Linked DNA regions of Mus musculus: regions 1, 2, 3, 5 and 6 are each reported to be linked to region 4. The links are microRNA targets in miRTarBase. Many come from high-throughput screens and were not tested one by one. Region 4 holds a microRNA gene; each other region holds the end of a gene's coding sequence.

The links. Region 4 holds the annotated microRNA mmu-miR-203-3p (GUGAAAUGUUUAGGACCACUAG, at 899-920, opposite strand). A microRNA usually pairs through its seed, bases 2 to 8, with sites in the 3' UTR of a target mRNA and lowers its output. Matches are read on the target gene's strand: a 7mer-m8 pairs with bases 2 to 8, a 7mer-A1 pairs with bases 2 to 7 and ends in A, and an 8mer does both.
Region 1: the mRNA of Ptchd4 is a reported target of mmu-miR-203-3p. Seed matches in the 3' UTR shown: 7mer-m8 at 166-172.
Region 2: miRTarBase lists Myd88 as a target of mmu-miR-203-3p. Seed matches in the 3' UTR shown: 7mer-m8 at 1,492-1,498.
Region 3: miRTarBase lists Stxbp4 as a target of mmu-miR-203-3p. Seed matches in the 3' UTR shown: 8mer at 299-306.
Region 5: miRTarBase lists H2bc21 as a target of mmu-miR-203-3p. Seed matches in the 3' UTR shown: 8mer at 1,409-1,416 and 7mer-m8 at 2,261-2,267.
Region 6: miRTarBase lists Ung as a target of mmu-miR-203-3p. Seed matches in the 3' UTR shown: 7mer-A1 at 660-666.

Annotation. Positions count from the first base shown.
Region 1 is chr17:42,503,448-42,506,447 of GRCm38, reverse strand. It overlaps Ptchd4 (patched domain containing 4), which reads right to left. Exons shown (of 3, transcript NM_001355270.1): 3 at 1-3,000. The coding sequence ends at 2,533. Among named protein-coding and RNA genes, the nearest start is that of Opn5, 110 kb to the left of the region's middle.
Region 2 is chr9:119,334,611-119,337,733 of GRCm38, forward strand. It overlaps Myd88 (myeloid differentiation primary response gene 88), which reads right to left. Exons shown (of 6, transcript NM_010851.3): 5 at 2,725-2,900; 6 at 1,324-2,289. The coding sequence ends at 2,746. Among named protein-coding and RNA genes, the nearest start is that of Myd88, 3.8 kb to the right of the region's middle.
Region 3 is chr11:90,477,721-90,480,843 of GRCm38, forward strand. It overlaps Stxbp4 (syntaxin binding protein 4), which reads right to left. Exons shown (of 18, transcript NM_011505.2): 18 at 1-2,994. The coding sequence ends at 2,880. Among named protein-coding and RNA genes, the nearest start is that of Gm34850, 6.4 kb to the left of the region's middle.
Region 4 is chr12:112,128,724-112,131,846 of GRCm38, reverse strand. Mir203 (microRNA 203) reads right to left here and starts at 967; the gene lies at 892-967. Gm51289 (predicted gene, 51289) reads left to right here and starts at 901; the gene lies at 901-960.
Region 5 is chr3:96,221,085-96,224,207 of GRCm38, forward strand. H2bc21 (H2B clustered histone 21) reads left to right here. Exons shown (of 1, transcript NM_178214.4): 1 at 1-2,654. The coding sequence starts at 82. The coding sequence ends at 462. Among named protein-coding and RNA genes, the nearest start is that of H2bc21, 1.6 kb to the left of the region's middle.
Region 6 is chr5:114,138,081-114,141,203 of GRCm38, forward strand. It overlaps Ung (uracil DNA glycosylase), which reads left to right. Exons shown (of 6, transcript NM_011677.2): 6 at 156-1,241. The coding sequence ends at 296. Among named protein-coding and RNA genes, the nearest start is that of Ung, 8.5 kb to the left of the region's middle.

The sequences.
Region 1 (3,000 bases), not on the chromosome of region 4:
TATAAACAAGTCTTTCCCCATCCAAGTGCTTTGAGAGAGACTGAAACTGGTGCTTTGGCATAATATGCAGCGGTACTTCCATGTATTTGGCAGTTTGCAAGCTTGCCAATTAGCTTGTCAATCTTTTTGTTGTTGTTGGGTTTTTTTTTTTTTTTTTTTTGTATCTGAAATGGTATGGCAATTATAAAACACAAGTAAGTTATCTTTAAATAAACAATTGGTGAAACAATGGAGTTTCACTGAATATGGACAGATATGAAGTGATATGGAATCCTCAGCTTCTTAGTGGCTGTCTTTACAAGCAGGTGGGAGTGATAGAAATTTTCATAAACGATGAGTAACTTTGAAAGAGGAATTCTGTTCTCCAACTGCAAAAACTGCTTAGAAAATTCGACTTCAAATATGAGATCATGGCCTGGAGGTCAACTGTCCAAATGTCTGTTCCCCCTAGGACAAAAGTTCTTGCAATGAAAGGCTGGCGTTACCTGTGACATGGCTTTACAGATACAGTGAAAATATCAAGTGCGGTTATGGGAAGTTATGGTCCCTCCTTAATTCTATAGCTATTGTATCCACATCAGGGGAGACATTGAAACACAGCAGTTTTAAAGTAGAATAGAACAAATGTCATTCAATAAACTGAAGTTTCATTTAAATGATGTCCATTTAAAAATTTGCATCATTTAGAAGAGCAGTACTGTCTATCAGCATTATTTCCTAAAACTTAAAAGGAATGGAATTTTCTAAGAGTTTTAGTTGTGTTTTGTTTTTTAAAGCCAATAGTATTGTTAATGCATTTAAATTCTACAACCCAAATTGGTAGGAAATGTAAATGTTCCTCAGGAAAAAGAGCTTCTTAGCAGGATGTGTAATCATTAGGCATTTGTTTTATTTTACCCAGAAATGAATCATCCCTTAGGTTCCTTATTTGGCATGGAAAAGGAATTTTCTAGTAAGGTTCTCCAACATGAATAGCAGCCTTAGTCCTTGAACGCACCCAGCAGACTGAGTACTTGCCTGGGGCATAGTTTTCAACACTAACTCAAACAAACAAACGAACAAACAAACAAAACCAAAAAAACCCAAAACATTTACCTCAATACTTTTTCTTTCTTTCTTTCTTTTTTTAATGTAAGGACTCCAGGTGCAATTACACACAGTTAATATGGCACCAGTAGAGAGCTGTGCTTGCCATAGGAGATTACTTTCTAGTTAATGAAGACAATGATACTCCAAGAAGCTACAAAATGATGCTGCAGGGGTTATGGTGACCACCATCATAGTGATCATGGTCTTGGTTAATGCTCCCAGACTTATTCCAAGGAACACATTAGAGTCTGTAGAGTTGGCAAGTTTTTCTTAAACAACAGGCTGTTTGATGCCGAGATGGTGAATGGTAGATGGCTCATTTTACTCGCTACATTTTCCAGACATTTTCTTTTTCCTGTGTTAATTGCCACCTGTGCCACAACAGTGTATTTTCACCATTTAACTTAAGAGCTCTTAACTACGAAATGGTATCTCATCATTTCTTTCCATCTCTCACTTACACTGTGTACCCTTACATATGCATGCAAAAACAATGTGCTTAAAGGGCTCATTTTTTTCAGGTGGATGAGATATCCAAAAGTAGCCATGCTGGCCTTCCAAATACACAGAAATGTTAAAAGCTAATGACAAGCTATCTCAACTACTTTAGATTCTAAACGTTTGTTCACATGCTAATTAACTCAAATACCTTTTGGAGTTTTGGTGAAGTCATCCCAAACGTAGGATCTCAGTGACCAACAACATGATAGGTAGAATTTAATGGATTCAAATTTCTGTCTATCTTGTTATCACACAGTTGATAATTCTCTTGCTATTTAGACAGTTGAGTTGATTTCAAGTGACCAATTATATATTTTGTATCATCCCTAATGAGGTTATATATTTGACTAATGTTGATTTGACTTTTTGAGAAAGGCCAGCCTATCTGCAAATGAACATCTTCTTTCATCCAACCACCAACACACACTCAAGACATATTATGTATATGTATACTTATATGTACACACAAAGTGGATTGGGAGGTCCGGTCCTTTGGTTTATACAGGATTAAATGTGTACTTCCCATGTGCATAGGTTTCCTTTGATTGATCTGTTCATGAAAACATGAAGTGACATGACAAATTAGACATTTCTTTTTGTACTTTCCCCTATCTGGAGACCACCTATTCTCTCTTCTCCATTTCTTCTAAGAATCTTTAGATCTTTCGGCCTTCCATCTGACCACACCAATCCATCCATTTCTCAGAAAAGCTCTAAGATCAATGTCTGGAGAATTATCTCTCATGGAGCACAAGGTTGTAAAGAACTTCACCTCCTTTTATTATCTCTTCCATCAAAAGAAGCAGACCCTTGGATGCGTCATGAAAAATGCACTCTTGATCTGACCTGCCTTTTTACCCCTGGCCAGCCCAAGCAGCTGAGGTCTGAGCCTTACTAGCCCTGCATCATTGTGCAATACTGGAAAAGAAAAAGTCTCCACCCTCAGACTGTGGTGACGTGATCAGGGTTCTCTTGGATTTCTATGCATTCAATTTCCTCTCTCTCCTTTCGTTTGGCCCGTTTCTTTTTCTTGTGGTGCTTTTTGGAAGGAGGAAAAAAGGTTAGGAACACAGGTAAGATAACAAAACAGTGCAGAAGCGTGCAACCCCCGGTCAGCAGCAAGCATTTGAACAGTGTGAAGGTCAGGTTTGAAGGCACAAAGAGGAGGGGGAGCAACCCAATAAGAAAAGAAGTAATGTTTTGCAAAATGGCTGTCCCATGCTCTTGCAGGGAGCTTTTTATACACTGTGTTCTGGTGTGCTCAGTTGCTAATACAAATGTATAAAGCAGTGGTGCACAGTGGTCAATGGCAAAATTTAAAGTGTAGATAAGGCACAAGATAGAAATGCAATCCATGTCGACATTCCACAACGTCATTAAGCCCAGAACGCCCAGCTCAATTGAGGTGAC
Region 2 (3,123 bases), not on the chromosome of region 4:
CCCAACATAGTTCAGTCTAGCACTCCCTGCTGCCCACATGGAAGCCAGGGCCCCGCTGCAGCCTGCACGCTATGGCTGCGGTCATCTCCCCTGAGCCCCACAGGTCTCATCTGACTGTTCTAGTCTCCATCCTAGGCATGCCTCTCGATCAGATCTTTTCCTTTAGTATGTCTCCCAGCATAGGGTTTACCTTGTCTCCTTCACCACCTCTCAGAGCCCCATCTTCAGGACATGGAGGATGCGTGCCTTTGGTCCAGCCAGCATACCTGCTGCCCAAGGCTCCACTGCCTGGTTCCTGGGTGGTTCTGACTTTCTGCATTTGTATCTTGCTTCTTCTACTGCTGTCTAGTTTCCTTTAGATCAGAGCATGATTAGTTTCTATATTCTGCCTTGGCCTGGCCCCAGGGAACAAACAGATCCTCAAAAAAGCAAGTTTCTGAAATGCAGGGGTGGTTGGAAATACATGAACTTTCAGAGATGCAGAAACAAGAAGTGTTCCTTTAAAAATTAAAGTACTGCGTGTGGTGACACATACATCTTTAATTCCAACACTCAGGAGGCAGAGGTAGGCAGAGCTCTGTGAGTTTAAAGCCAATCTGCTCTACATAGAAAGTTCTGGGACAGCCAGACTTACATAGTAGAGACCTTACCTCAAAAACAAAACAAAACAAAACAATTTTTAAAACTTTTTTTTTTTTGGCAGAATTCCCTGTTTCCTAAACTGTAGGGCTCAAACAGTCCTCCTGCCTCAGTCTCACAGGTAGGTAGAACCACAGGCACACTACCTTACCTGGCTTAAAAACTCTCTTCCTTGAGATAATTACAGATCCCGAGGAAGTTGGAAAGGTGATCCGAGTTCTTACACTCCTCACACAATCTCCTTCAATCTGAAGACTACAAATGTAGCATCAGCATTGTGTGTATAGATAGCACTTGGTCATCCAATGGCTGGTGTGACTCCATAATCAAGGGACAGATGGTAGTCTGAGAATGCAGCTCAGAAGACATACTTTGCCTAACATGGATCCTGGGTTCAATCCCTGAGACTACATACCAGGGCCAGGACATAGTTTAAGCTAAAAAAGACTCAGGCTGCTGGGTAGGAGCAGGTTTCTGGAGCTGATGACGATACCTTTAGCTCCATCTGGTCCCCGCTGAAGCCCAAGCCCGTGAGGCCAAGACTCAGCCATCTGGAAGCCCAAGGCTCAGCCATCTAGAAGCCCTAGGGGGCACCACATTATAGAGCACTTTCTCTTATACTAGAAACTCATAGCCTACCTCTCTGCTTCCAAACACCTTAACACACATACCGTCAGTCACAAGTACACTTTCTCAAAATAGAATACTTTTTATTATAAATTCACACACAGAAGTACAAAGTACAAACACGAGCCCTTCTTTTCTTTATTGACATTCCCATGAAACCTCTAACACAGGTGGAGGAGGTTTACACTTGACCCAGGTTGCTTTAAAATGCTCAACATCAAGCAGTGAAATGCCCCATGAGACCGTGCACAGAGGCCTCATTCCTCCCCCAGACACTGAGGGGAGACTCACTTTCTTGGGGACTCAGGGCCCTGGGGTGTACCCTGAGAGGGACCATGACATTGCCTCTATGGTAGAGAACGTGAAAGGAATAAGAAGATGCAAACCTCGCTGCTGGGGAGAAAACAGCTGAGCCTGCAGCTGCTTTGTGGGGCGAAGCCAAACAGCTTCTCCTTTTTATCTTCAGCTTACTAAGGGCCCAAATGCTATCATGTTTGGGGCCTTCCTAGACTTTGCTTTCAACAGGTAGAGAAAAGAGAGGAGAAATCCACAGTGCCCCCAGATTTTCCTTCTTTTCTGGGGGTAGGGGATGGGGGAGGTAGGCTCTCATGTAGCCCAGGCTGACCTTAAACTAGGTGTGTTGCCAAGGATAAGCTTGAACTCCTGATTCTCCTGCCTCTACCTCCCAAATGCTGAAACTATAGGCCCGTGCCACTACCTGTAGCAAAGGCACCCCACTTTTGTCCAGGGAGATGGCCAGGCCCCCTTGATGATAGAACTCTTCCACTCAGCTATCCTTGGGAGCTGTCCCAAAGGAAACACACATATGCAGATGCCTGTGTGTGCGAGGAGGCATGTGTGTACTGAGGTGCGTGCACAGGCATGGGTGGCTGGGAGGAAAGGCAGTCCTAGTTGCTCAGGCCAGTCATCATTGAACACGGGTTGAGCCCAGGGGAGTCAAAGATGTAGACAGGACGGCATCAGAGAATCTGGCTCCGCATCAGTCTCATCTTCCCCTCTGCCCTGTGGGAGGAAGAAAGGGAGTTTAAGGTTGGCAGGTCAAAGCAGCTGTCCTGGCAAGCCTGTGGTGCTCCTTAACAGCCAGTGTGTGCTCCTTCAGCTCCCCTTCAGCCCACACTGGGTCTCCTAGGATAGCCAGAAGAGTGCCTCACTATTTCCCTGCCTGATCTCCATATCCTGTTTCTCAGGAGGAGACCCTGAGGCCAAAGATGTCTGAGATGTAGCTCAACTAGTCCTTCGCTTAGACTCATGCAGCCCTGATAAACACTGTCCTGGCTGGCAACCCGGCAAGTCATAATGTCACTTGCAGTCACTGGTTCCGTAAGGACTTGAGAGATGACATCTGGCTACTGTAGATGTCTAGGGATAGACGGACCACAAGCTCCCCACTACAGTGTCAAAGGAGGCAAGCGGAAGAACACAGACAGACTGACATACCTAGGGCTCCCAGGGTCATCTTCAGGGCAGGGACAAAGCCTTGGCAAGGCGGGTCCAGAACCAGGACTTGGTGCAAGGGTTGGTATAGTCGCATATAGTGATGAACCGCAGGATACTGGGAAAGTCCTTCTTCATCGCCTTGTATTTAATAGGAATCAGTCGCTTCTGTTGGACACCTGAAGGCCAAAGGGTGTGGTATTAGGACCACGTGGGGCCCTAGGGTGGGACAGGCTCAGTCCCTAAAGCACGGGCTAACACCAGCTCTCCACCAACCAGGTATCCATGATACATATCCACTACATAAGGAAGTACACAGGTCCGTCCTCAGAGATCTGTAGTGCTTTGGTTTTGCATTCCTGGACTATCATCCTAAGGCTATATCTCTACTCTCTCTTTGAC
Region 3 (3,123 bases), not on the chromosome of region 4:
GTATTCTGGGAAGTGATAGCTTAAGCAGACACTTAAAATGCAACAGAATGCGTATATCACCATGAAAAGATGACCACAACATACCAATTCAAGGGGGAGCTGTTTAAGGGTGGCAGGCTTACCCTCGAGGGGAAATAGTTACTGAAATATTGGTGACGGCAGCTTCCAGAAAGTTAGACGGGCTATTTATCTAACTCGACTTATTTCTACAGAACTTTGATCTCGTTTTTGAAAGGAAAAGAAACTATTTTTAAAATTTAGAAGTTAACAAATTCTGACTTTCAAGATCATTTTTATTTTGAAATGGTTAGCTGTAGCTCTGCTTTGCCCTGGTGACCAGAGTGCTGGTCACACCGCTGGTAGCTACTGAGCATCCCAAGGGAACACATGGGTGAGGACATAGGGACTAAAGAATAGTTCTCAATGAGTGTTCGCCTGATTCAGCTAATTCAGAGGCTCAACCTCCTTAGCTGCATTCACATGAGATGCTCAGTTACACAGGAACCTGATGGAATGCTATTTTCTCCTGGAGAATTCCTTTCTTACAAATCGGGAAGTTCTTCGTGACTGAAAGCTGGAGTCCTGCAGGGCTGACTAAATCCAGGAGGCTCTACACCCTGGTTTAAGGAAGCCCTGGGGTCTAAGACTTGCCTCAGATCCAGCATCAACACAAAGGCATGGTGGGATCCTTGGGACCACTTCTTTCTAAACCTCAGCTTTTTCATAAAATTGGAATCACTTTGGGTACCTTCAAGAAGGTACTTGTTGCTGAAATACCAGTACTTGGGAGGTTGAGGCAGGGGGATTGTGAACTCAAGGCCAGGGTGGTATACACAGAGAGTGGCTATCCCAAAAAGACCTCCCAAAAGATGTTCATTGTATACCGAAATGTATGGTATAGAGTGCTCAGTACATAGAGCTATGTGTTTTTATAGATCTTTTTGATTATGTATTTGGTAGAAATAGGGAGGGACTTGATACTAGCAGCAGAGAGGTTGTGAGTGCCACACACACATGCACACATACAGATTAAAGACTGCATGCTTCAGGAGCCCATCTCAGCTTCCCTTACAAACAATTGAGGACACTCTCCAATGCGAGGCAGGAGAATGATCTCCTAACAGGAGTGTGCTGGTGTCACAGCAGAGACGGTCTTATAAAAGCGTGTGAGTGCCTGTTCACACCTCTTTGGGACTTGAAACAGGTCCTTCTGCAGCTGCTCTCAAAGCCACCTACCCCTACCCCGCTTCTCGAAGCATCCTAAGATCCAGACAGCTGTGAGGAGAGGCATACGTTTGCTCCAGCCATTCTGTCGTTGTTAGGGTTCGAGTCTCCTTGTCAGTCTGTATTTGACTTTATGTTCTTCCTCATGAAGGAAAACATGAATCCTAAGTGCATTCAGCTTAAACCCTACATCTTAAATGTATTCAGAGAGGTATGGGTGAGCACGATGCCCATGTGTATTTTCCATATGCATTCCCTATACCAGGTAAAACTCAGCAGAGAATGTAAGGAGCTAGGGTCTGATGCTGACACAGGTGCTGCTCCACTGCAGGAACTCCGTGACTTACTTATAAAGTGGCCCTGAGTGAAGGTTCTTGCACCGTGTTCTTGGGAGCTCTATGCTTGCCTAAGTGATGCTGCGCTGCTTTGCTTGGCTCCTGGCCTCCATCCTTTTACAAGCGCTCCAGCAGTGTTTAAACAAATACCTTTCTCCTGTCAGCTCTCTTTAGATGCTCCTACTGGCTCATGGCACCTAAGCATGGCCATGAGCCAGTGTCTCTAGTCTAGAAAATACAAAGCCCACTGAAAAGTCACAGAGCAGTGTCCTGCTTGGTATCTAAGGGTGGTGGTGGTGGTGGTGGTGGTGGGGTTGGGGCCGCAGAAGGAAGAGAGTGGGTCATGACTCTGAGGTGTCCTCTGGACTGCTGTGGAATGCACAGCTGTGGACCCAGCTGCATCAACAGACTGTAGATACTCTGCTGGGCTGCAATCTCCCTCTGTGGGGACAGTAGGGAGCAGGGCAAAGGCGCCTGGACACGGAATCAGAAGATAAGGTGTGAGTCTCATCCCTGGGATGGGCTGCTCTGTCTCTCTGAACCACTGTTTCTCCAGCTGAAGCCATGAGTAGAACTGCCCTGTAGATCAGCTCAAAATCTATGCTGTTTGGTTTAAGTAAGGTGAGGTTTGAAAGCATTTTTTTTTTTTTTTTTTTCGAGACAGGGTTTCTCTGTGTAGCCCTGGCTGTCCTGGAACTCACTTTGTAGGCCAGGCTGGCCTCGAACTCAGAAATCCGCCTGCCTCTACCTCCCAAGTGCTGGGATTAAAGGCGTGCACCACCACTGCCCGGCTTGAAAGCACTTTATAAATGATAGATGTCTCCTAATAATATAAGTTAGGTGGTGTCCTATTTGGTACAAGTTGTAGTCAGCAGCTAGTGGGACAGCTGTGAGGCAGCCTCCCCTCGCTTTCTCAGAACATTTTTCCTAAGCTGTGGGTTGGGAGGGAGAGTTATAAAAAGGAGTTTGCTATGTTCGTATAACTTTTCAATATGAAGTGTTGATATACAAACCATTGTATCTCATACCAAACAATGAGCTAACATACTGAGTTATAAAGATCTAATTATAAAGAGGTTTATGCATGTAAAATCTGACTATAAATGACTTCAATAAATGCAACTAGATTATTTCCAAAAAAACTACTGTAGTGGCAACTGATCTTTAACATGTACACGAAAATACCACACTTGCGACTTGACACCCTGCCTGGTGCACGTGCTGGATTCCTGTGTCTCGGGGTGTGGTGGCTTGTGTCTGGTTGTGGACATGGACTGAGAAGCCAGAGGACTCTGCTGCTCCATTTCCCATGGAAACCCATCAGCTTTTCGGGTCTGTTAGCTCTCTGGGACAGTCCTCTTCACTCTCCTCTGCACAGGACAGGTTCAGGGCGCTCATCACGGGGTGGATCCAGGACGTGGTCTGTGTCACGTGGCTTGGGAAGAACAAGGGGTGCAGATTAGCATGTGAACAGCTCTCTTTCTACGTAACGGAACACGTATTGATTCTGGGGACTACCTGCTTCGACCCAGTTGTTGGCCCCTGGGACAGGAAGCAATTAGAA
Region 4 (3,123 bases):
TACTTGCCTGGCATGCACACATGCAAAGGATGGGTACCTCTCCAACGTGCCATCAGGACACAGGGACTCATCCAGTGGGAAATGCTCTGACCCGCCTCAAATTCAGTCTAGGCTGTCCAGTGGCTCCCATATTTGGGCCAAGGAAGCTGGGATAGGAGGAGGCCCTCTTTCCCGATGTTGCTATGTTGTCGGTTTAAGGGTCCAGGCATCCATTTCTTTCCACACAACCCCATCTGACAGGGCCTGACCACCTGGAGGTGGAAATGCCAAGTCAAGCAGACTTTGCTCAGAGCCACTTACAGTTTCACTCAGACCTCTCCCATGGGTGCACTCATCCAACAGCTGAGCCTGAGGCCCCAAAAGATCACCCTGGCTCAACTCTGCATCAGGACTGGGCCTGTCCCCACTACCACTCTTCCAGCCCGTGTCTGGCCCTAGAAGCTGTCCATTCATACAGCACACACTCACAGGATCACTACCCCAGCCTGGAAAAGGGAGAGCTCCCGCAGAAGAATTCTCAGCTCAACAAGATGACTACCAAGGGCTCGGCAGCCTCAGCCCCAGTGGCCACTCTCACGCTGGAGCAAAGAATGCCCCTTGACCCAGAGGTCAGGCGGCCGGCTCCTGCCAGAGGTTCGGTGGCTTTGGACAAGGGTGGATCAGGAGAGAATGAAGGTGAGGCGCACGTGTCAGCAGTGTGGGCGAAAGTGCAGGCTGCTGTGCAGGTCCAGGGCCAGCGTGCGTCCCGGGTCGTCGCTCTGCACTCCTGCCAGGCTGCGGGACTGCACGAGTCTCGGCGATCCGGGTGCCCCCACCCCACCCCCGCGCCCCTCTCAAGCCGACCTTGGCCGTCGGGGCCGCCCCGTCGCTGCTGTCGTCGCCGCCGTGCGCGCCGGGTCTAGTGGTCCTAAACATTTCACAATTGTGCTACAGAACTGTTGAACTGTCAAGAACCACTGGACCAGGCGCGCCTGCACACAGAAGTTCTGCACAGCCCGGAGCTCCGGAGCCACAGCTCAGCGCCCTCCTGCGACCCGGCCCGCGTGGCCGGGCTGCACTCTGTGCGGCGGCAGCCGGCGTGCCTGCGCCTTTTATGCGTCTAGGTCGCCCCGCTCGGCGCCGGAACGCGCCAGCCGCGCTGGCCTGACCGGTTTTTCCAGGCCCGCGGGTCGCGCGGCGGGTCGGCCCGAGGCCCCGGGAGCTGCTCCGCGTGCTCGCGCGGGGGTGGCCCTGAGTCACCGGCCGCACCCGGCGCCCAGCTTGGCGCACCTGGCCGGGGTCGACGCAGGGGCCGCGCCCGCTGGAAGCCCGAGAGCCGGCTTTGCAATGCTCGCCAAGGGGCCACGCCGGCGGGGCACGCACCGAGCCCCACGGGCGGCGCGGGGGCGGGAACGGACACGCCCGCACCGCGGACTCTCTTCAAAGAGAACTCCGTGGGAGGGGAAGGAGGGAACAAAGAGAAAGTGAAACTGGGTGGGGGGGCTGCGGCGAGTTTCTGCTTCCCAGACCTGGGCCTCTCGGCGCTCGGAGGGGGCGGGGCGAGCCCAGTCCTGGGTCCTGGGTCCTTGTGCCATGTACCAGGGACCTTGCCCGCAGTCCAAAGGGCCCTGTCTGCTCCGCACCTGCAGGCGCCCTGCCCTCTTAGTCACCGAGCCCTTAAGGGTTCCCTTCCAGTGCAGTAAGGACAGTGTTAAAGGAAAAGGAGAGCGATTGGAATCAAACTTGAGCCCCTGAGGACCAGAAGGCTGTCATAATGCATTCAAGTTCTGGCCAGCTGGCCCAAGGAACACCAGTGTCTTCTTTTCCGGGGTGCCACAGACTGGGCCAAGGCAGCAGGAGGAAGCCTCTAGACCTTTCACTGATGGCGCTGTCAAGTTTAACTTTTGCATTCGCCTTGTAGGGTGAACAGTGTAGGGTTTTGTGTGTGTGTGTGTGTGTGTGTGTGTGTGTGTGTGTGTGTGTGTGTGTGTGTGTGTGTTAATGTGTTTGGTTTTGTTTGTTTGTTTGTTTTGCAGTTGGGTCTTCGGCCTCAGAGAGAAGCCATGCCTTCTCAGAGGTTCCACAGCCCTTGGCAGTGTGCAAGTCTGATTGAATGTGGAGTCAGAGGGGCTGGCATGGAGAACTAGGGAATGTCCACAAAGAGGCATTGCTGGAGTCTTACTCACCAGGCACACACTTAGTCTGGAAGTTGTCTCCTATCTCCGTGAGAAACCCTCAACGGCAAGACAAGAAACAAACAAACAAGCAAACCCCTTTGTACCCAGTCTAGCCTGAGTGGGCTCCTTTCCCATAGCAAATGTGGGCACTATGCCTCAGAGGGGACTTTTGAGAGGCAGGTGAAAACTCTGGCTCTCTTGCAACCTGAAATATGACAACCAGAAGGGTAACCTTGCAAGAGATTACTTGTGTATGAGGAGATGGGTGGGGGTGGCCTGGAGGGCTCAACTGGGGAGTCTGATTATAGAATAGAGGGCGCTGGGAACCAGAGGGCGTGACAAAAGGGAGATGTTCCCTAGAGATAGCCCTGGCGTTCAGAGGAGCTGAAGCCTCCCTAGAGGGAAATTACCAGTGTGCAAAACAGCAGTGAGCCTTGCCTGCTGGGGGCAGGGCCCGGCCCTCCTCCACTGTGAGGAGGGCCATAGGGTTCCCCAGCTTATCCAATATCTTATGTCTGGTCTGAGGGCAGCCTGAACCACCTCTGCATGTGCTAACAGGGGATTCCAGGGTTCCTGCAGATGGAAGGATGGCCCAGTGCCCTTTGTAGGAGCCTGAAAGGGACATGCGAGTGTCCCAAGTATCGTGCTTCCTAAAGCAACTTATCTGGGACCCTCAGAGGACCTTATTAATGCAGCACCTGCGTCCCCCCCCCCCAAGCCTTCTGGACGGTGCCTTTGAGGCCATCTGGCATCTGTCTGGTGTGAGGTTGCATCCCATCATCCTTGAGGATCCTGAGAACCGGCCTGGCTGCCAACCCTTGTAGGAGTCCCTCTTACCTGCCCGATTGCTGCCTCCCCCTGACCCTTGTTGCTCATATCTGCAGAACCTGTATGGGGACCTGGGGAAAAGCCTCAGTCAGCCTTCCACAACTGGAAGGCGGGACTGGGGGTGTTTCAGCAGAACAGG
Region 5 (3,123 bases), not on the chromosome of region 4:
CGTTCATAAAGGGCTCAAGTCCTCCGGGTCCCTGGTTGATTTTCTACTTACTAGACTGTTTTCCACTGTTTGCTTTTAATCATGCCTGAACTGGCCAAATCTGCCCCGGCTCCCAAGAAGGGTTCCAAGAAGGCTGTCACCAAGGCGCAAAAGAAAGATGGCAAGAAGCGCAAGCGCAGCCGCAAGGAGAGCTACTCCATCTATGTGTACAAAGTGCTGAAGCAGGTGCACCCGGACACCGGCATCTCGTCCAAGGCCATGGGCATCATGAACTCGTTTGTCAATGACATCTTTGAGCGCATAGCAAACGAGGCTTCTCGCCTGGCGCATTACAACAAGCGGTCTACAATCACATCGCGGGAGATCCAGACGTCGGTGCGCCTTCTACTGCCCGGAGAACTGGCCAAGCACGCCGTGTCGGAGGGCACCAAGGCCGTCACCAAGTACACCAGCGCCAAGTAGAGGCCTCCCTGGATGAGGCGCTCGCTGGCCCCTTTGATCTTTTAAAGTCTCTTTTAGTGAGTCACCCGCTCAAATCAGAAGAGAGCTTTGCCACTTGCATTAGTTTCTAGTTCCTATTCCAAAGTTACTCCAAGGGTCTTGAAAAGGGTACACTTCAGAAGTTTTAAGCCTTTGTGGTTTTGAGTTCCCCTGTGGGTATCTGTTTGCAGTTTGCTGCACCCTACTTAGCTTCTTGGAGTTCTTTTTAGACTAGGATAATGGAGGTGGGTCTCTGGGCCCGGTTTCCGTGTTCTAGGCTTTTGGGGTACCATTTACTTGTCGACTTAAAGTGAGATGGTTTCCTTACCCTGGCGAATAGAGGGCTCCAGGACACAGCTAAGACTGTGTCGGCGAATGCTGGGTACCAGCCATCTACAACTGAAACCGCTCTGTCCCTTTACTTGTGTCCTGGGCACCAGCGGTTACGGGGTACTTAGGGTGGTGTCCCTCTAATTTACTGATTTACAAACACGAATGTTCCACGTTGCTGCCGATTTGGTAGAAGTCGGTTATGGTTCTCTATCAGGCTTTAAAATCCCTGTTCGAGGCTTGCTTGGTTTGTTTTGTTCTGTTTTTGTTTTTCCTTTTAATTCTTTGCTTTAACCTCTGCAGTGCCAGATTACCGCAGGCTACTGCTGCTTCTCTGGGCTCATGAAGCGATCTTTCGAATCCACACACGCAGGAATTAGCTTTTTCCCTCCTGTCGTGTCTCCAGGAGAAGTTGTCTCAAGTTCCCTTTGCTTTCTTATTTACACTGTTGCTGATCAAGCTGGGTCTGACAGTTTTATACCTCCAGAGCCCACCAGTGCCTCAACCACAGCAGATGCTACTTTTAAAATTACTTATTGAATTCATTTTTATACCACTGCTTTTTTTAAAATATATTTTTATTAGGTATTTTCATTTACATTTCAAAAGCTATCCCAAAGTCCCCCTTACCCTCCCCACAACACTCCCCTACCCACCCATTCTTGGCCCTGGTGTTCCCTTGTACTGAGGCATATAAAGTTTGCAAGACCAAGGGGCCTATATCACTGCTTTTTAAAATTACTTATTGAATTAATTTTTATATTAAGGCGGGGGTGGCAGAGGCCTTGTCCATTTGATGTATGTGAAGACACGTTGGAAAGGAAATGTTTTGGGGATTTTTTTCCCAAATTTGTCTTTAGTTATCGTTACTGTGGTAGCTGTTCTTGGTTCTTAGCCCAAGCAGCTGGGTGCACCTGTGAGGGATTTATTTTTTCTTAGTTCCATAATTTGAAATGAGAAGAACCATTTTTAATCTGGTTCTTTCCCACCTTTAATCTGGGCCACGCCAGCTGGCAGCTTCTATTAAGGACATGGAAGAAGGAAGCTTGTTCTTTGCCTGCTTGCTGGAGATGGCAAGTCTGTTCCTGAACTGGCATTAGAGCCCTACTTACTTGGGATTCTGCCATACACTGAAGACCGGCTGAGACACCCAGCCTTGTGGACTGAACAACTACTGGATTATTGGACCTTCCGTTGGGTGACAGCCATTGAACCCCAGCCATTGAACTCCAGTAAGCCATGTGTTTGTGTTCGAGTGTGTGTGTGTGTTTACTAGGGACTGGCCGTAATAGTTCCCTTAATTTTGACAATTTAGAGGAAGCTCTTGGGTTTGTATTAAATGGAGCATTGGCCTTTGGGAGAGAGACATTTTACTGCCACCATCCCCATTCTTAATTTTTCTATCCTCTACTAAGATGAACTTCCAATTTACAATTGTCCCAATCATTTACATTTCAGAGGGTCTACAGGATAGGTAGGTTATGGAGCGAATAGTGAAGGTAGTAGAAGCTAAATAGGGAGGTCCGTAGGCCAACCCCTGCACCAATACCATCCACTCTTGTCTCCTACCTGAAGACAACGGCCTTGGTTTTCTTTTGTGGGGAGTGTAGCATACTGAGTTTTTCCTTTGAAGTCTTGATTTTGTTGGTGAAGATTCTTGATGGTCTGATTGCTTTCTCAATTCTGCTTTGTGGTAAGGGTTATTGGAGCTGATTGCAGGAGCTTTGTGGATCCAAAAGAGAGTTCCAAACATTGTCATAGATCGAATAAATCCATTCACTGCATGTGCATTTTCAAGTGGGTAGACACTGTTATTATTATTAATAAAGTTACCGATTAGTTTCAAATCTTTGCTGTATTGTTTTCTGTGCAATTAATTTTCTCAAAAAAAAAATAAAATGAGTAGATATAGCCATTTGTGGTTGGGCTTGTGGAAAAGCTGGGTGCCTTTGATTTGAAGGATTTATAAGCCATTAGTCAGAGCTTAGGGGTGTAGCTCGGAAGGTTTGGCCAGAACGCCCTGAGGCCTTAGGTTCAACCCCCAGTACATTAAAGCACACACCTGCTTCTAGCTGGGCATTACTTCAGAGGTGCATTGGGGTTAGAATATCTACGGCATGGCCATTGTTAATGCCTCGAGATTGAGAAATAATGACCACAAATAAAAAGTATTACAAACAAGAGAGCGTGAAATAGAATCCCTGGTAGTTTAGCCAACACCTGTGCTAGGGAGTGTTCTAAGCCCTCTCAAAATATTGGCTCATTTGATCTTCACTGGGAACTTTATGGAGTAAGTCCCATTATCATCTCCCG
Region 6 (3,123 bases), not on the chromosome of region 4:
ACATCTCTGGCTTTGAGGGGGAGAGCACTCCCCCAGTGTGATGTGAGCACTGGGTTTTGTGAATTCTGGGCATACACACACCTTAGGTGGGCGGGGCGGGGAGTTCAGGGCTGGCTGGAGGTGTGGTGACCGCTTTACACTCTGACCTTTTACAGAAGCGTCACCATGTCCTGCAGACAGCTCACCCCTCCCCGCTGTCGGTGCACAGAGGGTTCCTGGGATGCAGACATTTTTCTAAAGCCAATGAACTGCTCCAGAAGTCTGGCAAGAAGCCCATCAACTGGAAGGAGCTGTGACCCGCCCACCCGCCCACAGGCCGCATCTGTCCACAGCGGTGCTTTCAGCTGCCGCCGCAGCTTTTGCTGGTTAAGTTCTAAGTTCCTTGTGTGAGTGGAGAAATGACACGGATAGATCTCTATAGGACCATCATGAGCCAACCAGGACACAGAAACTGCAGCTCTGGCAGGCAGAACCTCTTGCCTGGCACTAGGTTTGAACTCTCCAGGCCCGGCCAGGTGGCTGTTGAGACACACCTACTTCTCAGACCAGCGGACACACCCTCGGTCCCGTGTGCTGCTCTGGGGTGGGAGGAAAGATCTGCACCTTTGGACCAGCAGTTTGGTGCCTGCTGCTGTCCGCTTTATCCTTTAGAGTTAGAGATTTCAAAGTGTGTGTGTGTGTGTGTGTGTGTGTGTGTGTGTGTGTGTGTGTGTGTGCTTCAAAAGGCCCTTTTGTCTGGAAAGGAACCCTTGGGTGTTGGTGAGTCCTGAGAAGTCTGGCTTACAACTGAATGAGCTTCCTGATCACAAAGGGGGCGGGGTTCTCCCTGGGTTCACAGTGGCCGCTCTCCACCCTGCGTCTTGCCTTTGCCTTTGCAGGCTCCGAAGTTGAGCGAAGCAGGAATGGGATAGATTTGTTTTTAAGTGAGGGTGGGTGGGTTTCCTGGTGGCGGTGGAGTTGTTTCCTCCTCTCTGCAGACAGCAGACTGCCGCGCTTGGTGTGTGTGGTGCTGGGGATCTAACTCCAAGGTGCTGTTTCTTAGGGGCTGAGTTCACACAAGTTGTCTTTCTGCAACACTGGAGAACGTTATTTTTTTTTACAAGGTAGGCAGGTACAGTAATTTCTTTTTCATGCTTTTCTGAAAGACAATCTTCACTGAGTTTACAAGCTGGATTCCGTGAGTCCAGCTGGTTAGAGCCGTGGCCTGCCTGACCAGGCTAATAAAAGATGGTTGACAATTGGCGGTGTGCCGACTATTCTTCAGTGTTTCACAAGCCCGAGCTCCTGCTGTCACCATGGCTACCACTGATTGCAGGAAGGGCGACTGTGTCCTTGCGCCCTGCTTGTAGCTCTCTGTGGTTCCACCCACTGCCCGCCAGCAGCTTGCTGCACTGCTGCCAAGGACTGGTTGGCCAGAGTAGGGGATCTGCTGGGACCCAAAGGGACAGCTTCCTGACGAGGAAAGTCACTTCTTTGGGGGTGTTGTTGGCTTGCCCATCCATCCTTGCCAACGTCTGCCCTGTCCTGTGAGCTTCTAGACTCTTCCCTGGGAATATGAAGTTCAAGTGTGACTCTGACCTGTTGGTTTGCTGTTTAGGCCTGGGTTGCTGAGTTCCAGCATACAAAACACACAGCCTTTACATTTTTATTGAACCTTAAGCAGCACAAAAGCTGGGCAGCTGCCTACCTTCTGTGCTGTGAGAATCTACTTTCCTACCAATAACCCCGAGTTATTACTATGTTTCATCTGGAATGTTCTTAACTCCAATTGGCCAGCCCCCAGGGCCATGCACACAGAACAGAAGAAACTCATGTTTCACAGGCTTGGGGGGGGGGTGGGAGAGGAGGAGGGAGAAGTTGCCATGGGTCATGCCAAGAGTCAAGAGAGTGTATATGGTCCTGTAGGCATCTTCATTCACCAGTGGGTATTAGCTTGGGGGCCACACTGAACATCACAATAGACAGTAAAAGACCCTCAACAGCGTTTGTGAGGAAGAAAGCAAAGTGCACCAAGGGACGGGGTGTAGCTCAGTGTGCGACGTCTGCACACCAGCAGGTGCGAGTTGTAGAGAGCAGCTATGTTAACAGTAGGGTTTGACATTGTAGACCAGGCTGGCCTCGAACTCAGAAATCAGCCTGCCTCTGAGCCCAGGGTGGCACCACACAGCACGCAGGCTGAGCCTCCTACAGCAATCAGAAAATGTATAACTGGCTTGCCTGCAGCCTGATCTTATGGGAGCATTTTCTCAATTGAGGTTTTTCTCGCAGGTGACCCTTGATGCTGTCAAGTTGACGTGAAGTAAAAACTAGCCAGCACACCCATGCGCAGACAGGTGGCTCAGTGGTTTAAAAGCTCCTGCTGATCTTCCAGGGGACTCAGTTCCCAGCACTCAAGCCAAGTGGCTTGGAACCTCTAACACTTGAGCTCCAGGGGAGATGGCGCCTGGATACCTGTACTCAGGTGCACACACCCACTCAGGGACTTGTGGAACAGAATAAAAACATCTTGGGCCAGGCAGTGGTGGCACATGCTTTAATCCCAGAGACCGACTTGGGAGACAGAGGCAGGCTAATTTCTGAGTTCGAGGCCAGCCTGATCTACAATGTGAATTCTGCCAGGGCTATACAGAAAAAAAACAAAAAATTCTTAGAACACAGAAGGGACTGGTGGATAGATGGCTCACTGAGGGGGTGCTGAGGACTTGAGTTGGTACCCGAGTCCACATAATGGAAACAGCTGGTGTGTTGTTTTATGAGTGCACACATAAAATAGATGGTTCATATGGAAGTGGCTGAAGAGGGCTTGGCAGAAGAGGACCCGGGTTCCATCCCAGCATTCATAGCGCATGGTTCACAGCTGTATGTCACACCAGAGAATACAACACCTGGACTCACCTGTCTTGTGTGGACATAAGCATCTATACACAGCTTAGAATAATAAAGTGAAATGAGTTAGTTGGGGGCAGGGGACTGGTAAAGACTGATGGGCAGGGGACCAGCAGGTAGGTAGAGGGCTCCTGCCAGGCCTGACCTGAGTTCCAGACGTTGGACTCACAAGGTAGGAAATCTGCTGAGCCCCACAGACCGTGTGTGGCATATGCACACAACTACTACACCACAAAA